Arabidopsis thaliana: one gene and its partner. The main gene of each other region encodes a partner of the protein of the gene in region 2 in a complex. Each region holds a gene or a part of one and is shown on either strand. Other genes may lie near its edges.

Region 1 (6,169 bases), on a different chromosome or scaffold from region 2:
TTTGTTTTTCGCCAAAACCGTAAAATCGAGTTTTCCCATCAAAACTGTAAAACCACGTTTTCCCGCCAAAACCGTAAAATAAATTTATAAATGTAAAAAACTATTATTTGAAATTTATTTACTTTTAAATATATTTTAGATTAAGAATTAAAATTAACATGTTTACAAGTAATAATAAAAAATATAATTAGATGAAAGCATGGGTAGTTTAGGTATTTGTATTATTACAAATCATTTGGATGGAGATAGAGATAAGCAAACGAACATCTCATTCGGATGGTCCAGTCAAATGAACCGACTAAAAATGAAACGAACAAGAGTTAAATAAATCATCCAAATAGACATGTTGAATGGATCAGTTGGATGGATCTATCAAATGTAGAAACGAACAGGGCCTTAAAACCTTGACCAAAGAAATCTTTGTAATACCTGGCTGATTGTTTCTCATAACATTGAGATTATTTTTAAAATTGACGTAGTAGAATCCCAATCTGTTATATTAGAACCATCTTGCTGATATTATGTTGTGTTCATTTTTATGTACATTGTCTTATCTTATCCGATATCAAATTATGTAACTTGATTTTATCTAAATTGTTTGGAAAGATTAATCTCAAACTTGTAGCTACGGTGTGACATCTTATCCGATCTCAAATCATGGTGATTTTCTAAAAATGTTAAACTATTTCCATTGTTTTATTTCATCGCCAAGCGGTTTAAGTTGTTGAAGTTATTAGTCATTAAAATATTTGCACGATTTAGTTGTTAAGACGACGTCTAGTTATTGCATAATCTATTTCTTTAAATAGAGGTAAATTCGTATTTTCAATATTTTAAAAACTATGATATTTTTACTTCATATTTAAAAACATCAGTCCTTTTGTAAATTTAAGACTTTTTTTAATATATATAATACAATATTTCTTCATGTTTTGAAGGTAAAGATACCTTCATATAAGGATAATATATTTATACTAAAGCATTCTTGATCATGTCAAATAAGCTAGAAACTGAAGGAATACAAAACACTTTTATTATTATTAACCAAGACTTCATGAATCATGATCAATCACAAACTAAAACATAGGAAAGAAGCATTGAACAGAAAACCAAATCCTCAAAATATAACTTAAAGCTCATCCTTCTTGAGCGCGGATGGACGAACACCTTGACCGAGGAAATCTTTGTAGTACTTGGCTGATTCTTTCTCATAACGTGTGAGGTTATTTTTGAAATCGACGTAATAGAGTCCGAATCTGTTATTATAACCATCTTGCCATTCAAAGTTATCTAATAATGACCATACAAAGTATCCCGTAACTCTCACTTTGTCAATGCTGCACATACACAAATTTTCTTGATTAGATCATTCCATAGAATTGTTCTCTAAATAAATAAATAGTAAACGGTTACCAAATAGCTTCGTTCATAGCTAGAAGATGCCTCTGAAGATAGTATTTCCTGTTATAATCAGCAGTACCAACCTCAACCGAATCTTTGTCCTTAAGTTTATCTCCATATCCTAGAAAAACAACAACATTAAGATGAATATATATTTTAACTCCAAACTAAATCAACACACAGTAACCATAAATCTCGAGTTACCATTTTCCATGATCATAATTTCCGGGTTTGCGTATTTATCTTTGATGTACTTTAAAAGACTTCTAAAACCTTTAGCGTAGACGGGCAATGCAGCGGTAAGAGGCTGAAAATAAAACAATGGTGATAGATGTTATGTCGTTGAGAGAAATATTTTAATTGTTTAGTTGTTAAAACAATCTCAAACTAGGACTAGTTTAGTTTAACGCATACCTGGCTACCAATGGCGCTGTGATCTACATTCTTAGCTGAAATTTAAAAGTGAAAATGTATACATATCAATTAGTATTATAAAGAAAACATTTTCTCTTAGTTTCTTGGTTTGGTTTCATGTAAGGAAAAAAAAACTTACGTTCCCAAGCAACAAGAGAATCTTGCTTCCAACTTGGTGTAGACGGATCTGGCTTTTCATTATGGTTTGAAAATGTTGAAGTATAGTAGTTAAGCCCTACGAAATCGGTCGAATCTTTCAATTTTGCTTTTTGTGAAGAAGTGAATTTGGGCAATCTGTGACCAAGAAGGTCTTTCATGATTTGTGGATAATCTCCAAAAGTAGTTGGGTCTAGATGCCTACAAATAATAATCAAAACTCCATCAATTATATGAAATTGTATACAAGACCCCATTTTATCAAAGTATATACCTACCATCCCAACATAAAGTCAAGTACACGGCTAACAGTTGGAACGTCATTTGAATCTTTAAGATCATGTGGTTCGAACCAAGCCGGACTATGTGCGATTCCAATTTTCCCACCTTTAACCTACAAAATGTCCATTAACACAACACAAAACAAATTATATTCATATCCAAAACCTGATAGTTAATTTTGATATATATATCTAATGTAAATTACCTTTTGGCGGAAAACTTCAACAGCTTCTGCATGAGCGTTGAGGAGGTTGTGACTAACTAGATAAGCCTCATAACCTGATCGTCCATCTCGGTCTTCACAACCTTTAAGGTAGCGAGAACAACGTCCTGGCGCCTTCTTGCCTACGTCGTAACCTGCATGAGCGAAGACCCATGGCTCGTTGAAAGTGATCCAGTTTTTCACTTTTCCACCGTATTCAGTGAAAACATAATCTGCATATTCTCGGAAATCTTTCCTGTATTTTTGCAAAAAATGATATTAAACTAATAATTTCCATATAAAATTTAATTAGATGTATTTTGTTTCAATTTACAAAAACATACACAATGTTCTCGCTTAAGAAACCGCCATATTCGTCTTCTAAATCTTGTGGAGTGTCCCAATGGAAAACAGTCACAAACGGAATTATACCTAGTTACAATGTAAAAATAGATAGAAATGTTAAATAATGATACTATATTTCTTGTCTTTTTTAATTAATTAGTTTATATGTATATAACCATTTTTAAGGAGCTCATCGATCAGGTCGTGGTAGAATTTCACACCAGCTTGACTCACTCCCTTCTCCTTTCTCCCATCTAAAAACCCGTTAGTTTGTTTGATTAGTCAATAAATGTAAAATTCATTAGTTATTGATTTATATATCAATTCACCAAATTCGATTACTAAATCAAACTAGAGATCTGCAGACATATACTCACGAGGAAATATTCTTGACCATGCGATTGAGAGTCTGAATGCGTCTGTGTTTAGATTCTTCATTAGTTGAATATCTTCCTACAAACATTTTTAAGACGAGACAAATTTTCAATAATATCTCGTATAATATCAGCAAACTAAAAGTATAAAATATAAGTTATATTTGTCTTAAAATTATATTAATATATACCTTAAATTTATATTAATATATACCTCAACTTTATATTAATATATTATATATACAGTGTGGCTCCTCTCAAGGGTCTAACCATTTCAAAGTTTTGTAAGCATCCTCTGAGTTAATTTTCTCAAAATTCTTTTCAAACAAGAGGCACTTTATTGTAAAGATGTTTTTTTTCTTTTGAATATACTTTAAATTTAGATTCAAAATACATATATATATTTACCTTATAACGATGGAAGAAATCAACGGCCACATCGGCGTTGTGGCCACTACATCTCTCTGTAATTTAAAAATAAAAAGTGAATGAATTTAGATATCTAAAGATATTGTATAGAAAATATAGATTATACACTCACCTGGATTTCTCTTACAGAAGATATCCCATAGAGCAGGTCCACGACAAGTTTCATTAATTGCACCTTCAACCTAATGACATAACGAAAATAGCTGATGAGTTGAGGTAATAACATATGTTTGAATTCAGCATTTGGACTTAGGCTTGAATTTTGATGGAGACACAACACTAATACATATTTTTGAAGTATAGTGTAGTAAATAATTCATTTTGATGTCTCACAGTTTACCTGAAACGCAGCAGTAGCTGTGCCAAACACAAACCCATTAGGGAAACTTGCTCGGCTTAGTTTGGACGTCGTTGGGCACACAGGATCATCGACGGCTATTGTCGAAGAGACGACAATGGTTATGAGAAAAAGAAGCCCCAGGAGAGGGAACTTTTGCAATGCCATGGTTTCTAATTTTTGGTCTTTTGGAAGAGAACAAGTTTGTGATGATTTGTTTACATCTAAACAGAGTTCTTAATTATATAGTGATTTTGATTGTTTGGTAATGACAAATAAGTCACTAAACTATATTTGTTTAATAAATTTATTTTATATATAGGTGTGTTCTTACTTATTTTTCAAAGTTTGGAACATATTATATTACGCGTGGAACATATAATAAAAACGTGCCTTTAAATAAATAGTGTATCCTATCAAAAAAAAAAAAAAATCGTGTATGTCCTATAACTGAAGTCTTCATCTATTGTTGCACCTTCGTCTTAATAATATTTCTCGTGTTTAACGAGCAACAATATTAACATTTAATCTTCCATAATCAACGGATCTCTCATTTAATGTCTACTTTCAAATATGCAACCAGATCTGTTTTACAAGAAAAGAAAAAGATATGCCAACAAGGCCTCGTTAATCATTTTCTTTAATTTTCTATAGTAATGATCCAGATCGAGTTTTTGGATCTTACTTTAGGTATTATTGACGTTTAAGATATTAATATTTATTGAATAAACTTTCATTTACTTATCCCACTAAGATAGTATACAATTATTTAACTATTGTATACGATGGTGGTTAGGAGCAACGTGTCCCCATGAGAAACTTTTGCAATGACATTTTGGTTTTTAGTTTTCTTTTTTTTCTTTTGTCTTGATTAAGAAAACAATTTTAGGATGGTTCATTTATATGTTAGTGTCGTTTTTTATAGCGATACTGATCTCTCATTAATGTCTTGTTTTTAATATGCCACAACCAGGCCTCGTTGATAATGTTTATTTTATTTTACTATATAGATAGATCTAATCATCCAAATGGTGTTTTCGATCTTATCTTAATCATGATTATTATTGACGTTTTCATAACTTAATATAATCTTTCATTATTGGTTTCCGCTTGACTATTATTTAAATAGGATGATTCATTCGATGAGAGATCCCGGGTGACTAAGCTAAACTATACAATTATAAATAAGAAAATCTAGTGTATGACCTATATCTTCAAAATCTTGAACCTGTAGTAGTCGTCCTGATCATAGGATACATTGGTAACTTATGGACCGTAAAACCTAAGCAAAAGACCTTATAATGGTTATCAAACAAGTTATTAGATATCAAGACACAACCTCCAATTAGACTGGGAGTTTGGAATGAGTAATCTTCGGTTTCGGACAAACAATTGGTCACATTCTAGTCGCATGCTGACTGCTGTCAGGACAGTGCGGTAAAGCCTAATTAAGATCAACGAAATTTAGGCATCAAAATTAAAATATAAATGTGGGGCAACTTTTTTGCCCAAAAAAACACAAATTGGGGTAACTATTATTCACCAAACATTTTTCTTGGTCGATCAATTGGTGGTGTAATTGATTATTTTTCTTTCAAACAACTCAATGAGAAAGTCCATTTAGATTTGGAATGACCATTTCTCAAAATGCTACACTTCATGGCCTTTGTGATCGAGGACATTGAAAGCTACTATTTACATGATCAGAAAATCTGGTAAGTTTACAAGTCCATATATATGTCAAATATTGTACCTTGGAAGAAAGCAACTTAAAAATATGTGTATTCCTCTTAGCTGATGCCCTACCAAAGCACATTGCGACTCACTACTCTCGTCTAGTCGTCATAGAAGAAGAATACACTGCGACTAGTTTTTTTTGCTCTCCTAAGAATGAAGAAACGGTTGGTACAATCTTTTACTAACTATGGCCAGTTCAATTACTTACCCTTGGTTACTTCAATGATCTGGATCAGTTAAGAGTCTTTGTGTATCTTTATGGCGTAGTCAAGGAAATGGAAACTTCCAATTAAATATAAAACTATTAAATACTAAAAAATAAAATAAATTCGACATGTGTCACGATTAAGCAACAAATATATATTAAATGTGACTGAATGAAAGTCGTTGTATAACTCCAAAATAATGAAGCTTCCTTATATATCATTAAAAACACATGTAACGACAATCTCTCTTGGTGTTTGACTTTGAAGGTGTTCTTGTTTTACGTCA
Region 2 (5,198 bases):
CTAAGAGACCCTTTAATCCAAATCCAAAAACAATGAATCATACAAATTGTTCAATACTAAGCATTCTCCTAAAAAAACCAGAATCTCAATGGAAACAAGTGAAGTAGGACATTGACCTTAAGGGCCTTGGCTCGAGAAGCTGCCGTACGGTACATGATGATGACTGCGAAACCCTAGCTTGGTCAGATGAGTACCGGTGAATGTGGCTGACGACGGGAGAGAGATAGAGGCCGAGTCAGAGCTGAAAAGAAACGAGAGAAGGGAACGATTTTTTTTCCTAATTAAGGTTATTGGATCGGGCAATTGCTTCTAATTACATTGATAGGCCCATATGATATAATAGTCTTGGCCCAAATTATAACATATAGAAAAGATGAATTTAAAGCCCATGTATTGTAGTGGTGTGATCCTATTATATTTTCTCTCAATTATATTTTTTTTCTTTTCTTTTTCACGTACCATTGTGTAAAAATTCAAGTAAGGTAACGACATTTACATGCAGTCACAAATGAAACAAGAATTTTTTTGAGGTGTGTGTAAAGTGAAACGAAAAAAGTACTAAGAAAGTTTATCTTCTCTAAGTTAATAGAATTATTTTGAAACGTAGTATCCACATATATAGAAGACTCGTGTGTGGTGCATATATATACTGCATAACTTCAATTGAACTGTATTATATAACTATGACTATCCATCCATGGGAAGATAAGAATGAGAGCCGAATGCTAAAAAGCAAGGGACCCGAATTAAACAAAAATGAATAAAGGAGAAAGGTTTGTGTGATTTTGTCAATTGTCGTCGTTTAGTGGATGTGTAAAAATACTAAATACTATAACAGGTGGTGTGGGTCTATCTTTTTTTTTTTTTGGTCTAATGTTAAATGTGGGTCTATCTTAATAATGCAGAAATAGTGCAATACGATTCATGAGTGGAAAAAATCATATTTGGGTACTCTCATATATAGTCTCATTAATCATTATCACCGAGTGGGGCGTACGATACACTTTTTCTTCTTTATCTGTTTTCATCTAATCATCATACTGTATGTCTATATTATCGTAGCATTCATCATCGAGTTATGAAACTTATGCCAAAAGAAAAGAAAAAAAAATCATTTGAGATTGGTTAAATTTCTATTTTAAGATTTAAACCAAAATGTTTAAAGTTCTATAAGCTCTAATTAAAGTCTCTGCAGTCCATTAAAATGGATAATTAGGATTTGCCGAACTTGAAAGGAGTAATGCACATTTTGATGCTCACGTGAACAACGAGTTGTAACGGTTTCGCTATAATTGGAGGCAGATGAGAAATGGTCGTGTGTGAGTTTTAATACCACGTGATTAACGGAGCCACAATCATATTCATGGGCCATTCTCATGAGCTATAATTTGAGGTGTAGCTGAGAGATGGTCAAATGCCACGAACTTTGAGTATTTCTTTCTTAACTTTGCATTTTTTTAGACGTAAGTTTTTTTTTTCATAGCCTACATTTCTTTGACAACTCATAACCTACATTTTGAGAATTTATAAATGTCAATTTATCATTTAACCTTCTCACGATAATGCAATTCCTATGGTAAATGTCAACTCATAACAGACTCTACGAAGAATCTACGACACTGTGAAAATCTCTAATCCAATATTCAAAAGAGAGTTAAAAAAAAAAAAAAAAAACAGAAGAGAACATCTTTACGATGCTGCTTTCACGATTTTAAAATTTTAGGTGATTTTTTTTGGAATTTTGGAATTCTCTTTACAAATTTTATGTTGTAAGGTAGATTCAATTTTAAAAAAAAAAAGATATTTAGATTAATACAAGTTCCTAAGTCCTAACTAATCAAAGCTTCCATCCCTCGTGAAGCACGAGTTGGTTGAATATAAAGTCTCTCAAAAAGAAAAGAAAAAGTGGTTAGTATTGGCAGAAAAAAAAAGTGGTTAGTATTGGATGAAAAGAGAATTTAATGTTCGTATTCAAAAATGTTTTATATATACTATATAGTATATATACAAAATCCCAAGATTAACTCATTCATATTCCATCTTCATCTCCATTTCTCACACTCAAAGGTGTTTCTTCCTTCCCTTTAATGTACTCCTTTTTTCTTTCTTTCACAAAATCGTTATATTGATTTTTACTAGTTTTATTTGAATTATTGAATTTCTTTATATGATAATGAATCTATGAGAATATGATACCATTGTTTAAAGTAATGTCCTAGTGGAAGTATTATAGTCCTCAGATTAGATTAGTTTCATCATCATGAAAGTGCTTGAGTAGTGTCTGTTCATGGCTCTTGTGCGTTTACAGTTTCTAAGAAATGGGTACTATAACTTTAGGTTAAGAAGAAAAGATGGCGAAAAAGTTGGAAGCTCAAGGTGGTCGTGGAGGAGAAGAATGGGACGATGGTGGTGCTTACGAAAACGTCAAGAAAGTGTATGTTGGTCAAGGTGATTCTGGTGTTGTTTACGTCAAGTTTGATTACGAGAAAGATGGAAAAATCGTATCACACGAACATGGGAAGCAGACACTACTTGGAACAGAGGAGGTAAATATTTTGTTTTCAATGAGAGTTCTCTTGTCATCAACATTAACTGATCATTTTTGGTTGTCTTTTTTTTTTTTTGCTAGTTTGTGGTTGATCCAGAAGATTACATAACATCAGTGAAAATTTACTACGAGAAGCTCTTTGGATCACCGATAGAGATCGTAACGGCTCTAATCTTTAAGACATTCAAGGGGAAAACTTCTCAGCCTTTTGGACTAACCTCTGGAGAAGAAGCTGAGCTAGGAGGTGGCAAAATCGTTGGATTTCATGGAAGTTCAAGTGATTTGATCCATTCTGTTGGAGTTTATATAATTCCGTCGACTACACCGCTGACTCCGCCGGTATCAGGTGGTCTGACCAAATTGGAAGCTCAAGGTGGTCGTGGTGGAGATGTTTGGGACGACGGTGGTGCTTATGACAATGTAAAGAAAGTTTATGTTGGACAAGGTGACTCTGGTGTTGTTTATGTCAAGTTTGATTACGAGAAAGATGGTAAGATTGTATCACTTGAACATGGGAAGCAAACACTACTTGGAACAGAGGAGGTACACAAATCTTTGTATTTCTTGAAATTGCCCAAAAGTTTTTTTTTTCTTTCTTTCTAGTATTGATGTGTTTTTGTTTTTGCAGTTTGAGATTGATCCTGAAGACTACATCACCTATGTGAAAGTTTACTACGAGAAACTTTTCGGGTCACCGATAGAGATCGTCACAGCTCTTATATTCAAGACATTCAAAGGAAAAACTTCTCAGCCGTTTGGACTAACCTCTGGAGAAGAAGCTGAGCTAGGAGGCGGCAAAATCGTTGGATTCCATGGAACTTCAAGTGATCTGATCCATTCTCTAGGAGCTTATATTATTCCTTCGTCCACACCATTGACTCCTTCTTCCAATACTATTCCAGCACAAGGTGGAGATGGTGGAGTTGCTTGGGATGATGGTGTTCACGACAGTGTCAAGAAGATATATGTTGGACAAGGTGACTCTTGTGTGACCTATTTCAAAGCTGACTATGAAAAGGCTTCAAAGCCTGTCCTTGGAAGTGATCATGGGAAGAAGACATTGCTTGGAGCAGAGGAGGTTGTAATCTTGATTTCATTTTCAAATCTTGTTTTCTATAGTTATTGATCTAGAAACCTAAAGTCTTTAATTTTGTTGCAAAACGTGCAGTTTGTGCTTGGACCAGATGAGTATGTCACTGCCGTGTCGGGCTACTATGACAAGATTTTTAGTGTAGATGCCCCGGCAATCGTCTCGCTTAAGTTTAAAACAAACAAGAGAACATCTATCCCGTATGGACTCGAGGGAGGAACTGAATTCGTACTGGAGAAGAAAGACCACAAAATCGTTGGTTTCTATGGACAAGCTGGTGAATATCTTTACAAACTTGGAGTCAATGTTGCGCCCATAGCCAAATGATGTGAAACCAATCTGGATATCCCTGAAATTTGAATAAGGTTATGTTGTGAGTTTATGAAGTTGTGGTCTAGTGTTGTATTTTGTTTTTCTTAAGGATAATGCATCTGTGTGCTTTGCTTATCTAAAATCTAAATAAAGTGGGTTTCTGCATTGTGACTTTGCACAAACTTCTTTTGTTAAAATGAATAAGAAATCACATCAAGAAAACAGAACAAGACCACAACGAGAAGACTTGAAACTCTCTGAAGGTATATAAACAAACAGAACCTAGTAAATTAGAGTCAGCTTATTCAAAACTTTTAGACCATCATCAAGATCATTATAAACTTGGAGTCAATGTTGCGGAAACCAATCTGCTATCCCCGGAATTTCAAATAAAGAGACTAGAGAATTACTTTGAACACACTTCTTTTATTAAATCGGATCACAAAAATCCATCAAAGACACAACAGCAACAAACACAAAGAGAAGACTTAAAACACTGAAGCAGTAAACAAACAGAGAGAAATAAAGTAGAATCAGCTTATTCAAAGTGTGTAAACTATCATCAAAAGATACTTAAAATCTCCATAATTATTTGGTTATTGGCGCGACATGGACTCCAAATTTGTGAAGTAGATCACCAGCTCTTCCATGGAAACCAACTATCTTTTGACCGTCCTTCTTGAATTCGAAGGCTGTGCCAGCTCCTATTCCAAAAGGAATAGATACTCGCTTATTAGTCGTGAACCTAAGCATATTTACGATTGGTTCATTCCCAAAGATTGCATCGTAGGTGCCATCAACTGCCGTGATGTATTCACTTGGATAGTCAAGCTCAAACTGCAATTCAAGAAGCACAAAAAAGAACAAAATTGAGGATAATAAACTATACGGTTAAACGACGAAAGAGAAAGCAAGAACTAATAAAGTATACCTCTTCAAATCCAAGCAATGTGGGTTTTCCATGTTCTTTTCCTTCTACAACCTGACCTGCTTTGTCGTACACAAACGAGACCGCTCCAATACCATCTTGGGCTTGTCCTACAGACACTTTCCTTACACCGTCGAAAGCACCATCATCCCATAAAGTTCCTGCCTCACTACCAGCTCCTTCTAGCTTTTGGGATTGTGTTGCAGGAGTCAAAGGGGTGGTGCCTGATGGAGCTAAATAAGCTCCAATAGCATTAACATACTCACCAGCTCGTCCGTGGAACCCAGTGATCTTGTAACCTTCCTTCTTGAATTCAAACT

The links. Proteins that work in one complex are often made in the same cells at the same time.
Region 1: JR1 (region 2) and BGLU22 share a complex: the UniProt entries of both Arabidopsis thaliana proteins name them as parts of the PYK10 complex.

What each region holds. Positions count from the first base shown.
Region 1 is NC_003070.9:24,705,630-24,711,798, forward strand, and holds BGLU22 (Glycosyl hydrolase superfamily protein), read right to left. Parts: upstream 4,368-6,169; 5' UTR 4,109-4,367; coding exon 3,944-4,108; intron 3,786-3,943; coding exon 3,716-3,785; intron 3,639-3,715; coding exon 3,583-3,638; intron 3,254-3,582; coding exon 3,178-3,253; intron 3,055-3,177; coding exon 2,977-3,054; intron 2,888-2,976; coding exon 2,800-2,887; intron 2,712-2,799; coding exon 2,459-2,711; intron 2,366-2,458; coding exon 2,250-2,365; intron 2,173-2,249; coding exon 1,955-2,172; intron 1,851-1,954; coding exon 1,816-1,850; intron 1,709-1,815; coding exon 1,606-1,708; intron 1,523-1,605; coding exon 1,414-1,522; intron 1,338-1,413; coding exon 1,130-1,337; 3' UTR 883-1,129; downstream 1-882. UniProt on the Arabidopsis thaliana protein: Beta-D-glucosidase active on scopolin >> esculin >> 4-MU-glucoside. No activity with DIMBOA-glucoside, pNP-glucoside, oNP-glucoside and sinigrin as substrates.
Region 2 is NC_003074.8:5,594,863-5,600,060, reverse strand, and holds JR1 (Mannose-binding lectin superfamily protein), read left to right. Parts: upstream 1-2,016; 5' UTR 2,017-2,067; exon of another isoform or gene 2,068-2,089; intron 2,090-2,337; 5' UTR 2,338-2,351; coding exon 2,352-2,546; intron 2,547-2,629; coding exon 2,630-3,091; intron 3,092-3,176; coding exon 3,177-3,626; intron 3,627-3,716; coding exon 3,717-3,965; 3' UTR 3,966-4,380; downstream 4,381-5,198. Other genes in the region: MPPalpha (mitochondrial processing peptidase alpha subunit), read right to left, coding at 117-155; JAL34 (Mannose-binding lectin superfamily protein), read right to left, coding at 4,539-4,787, 4,882-5,198.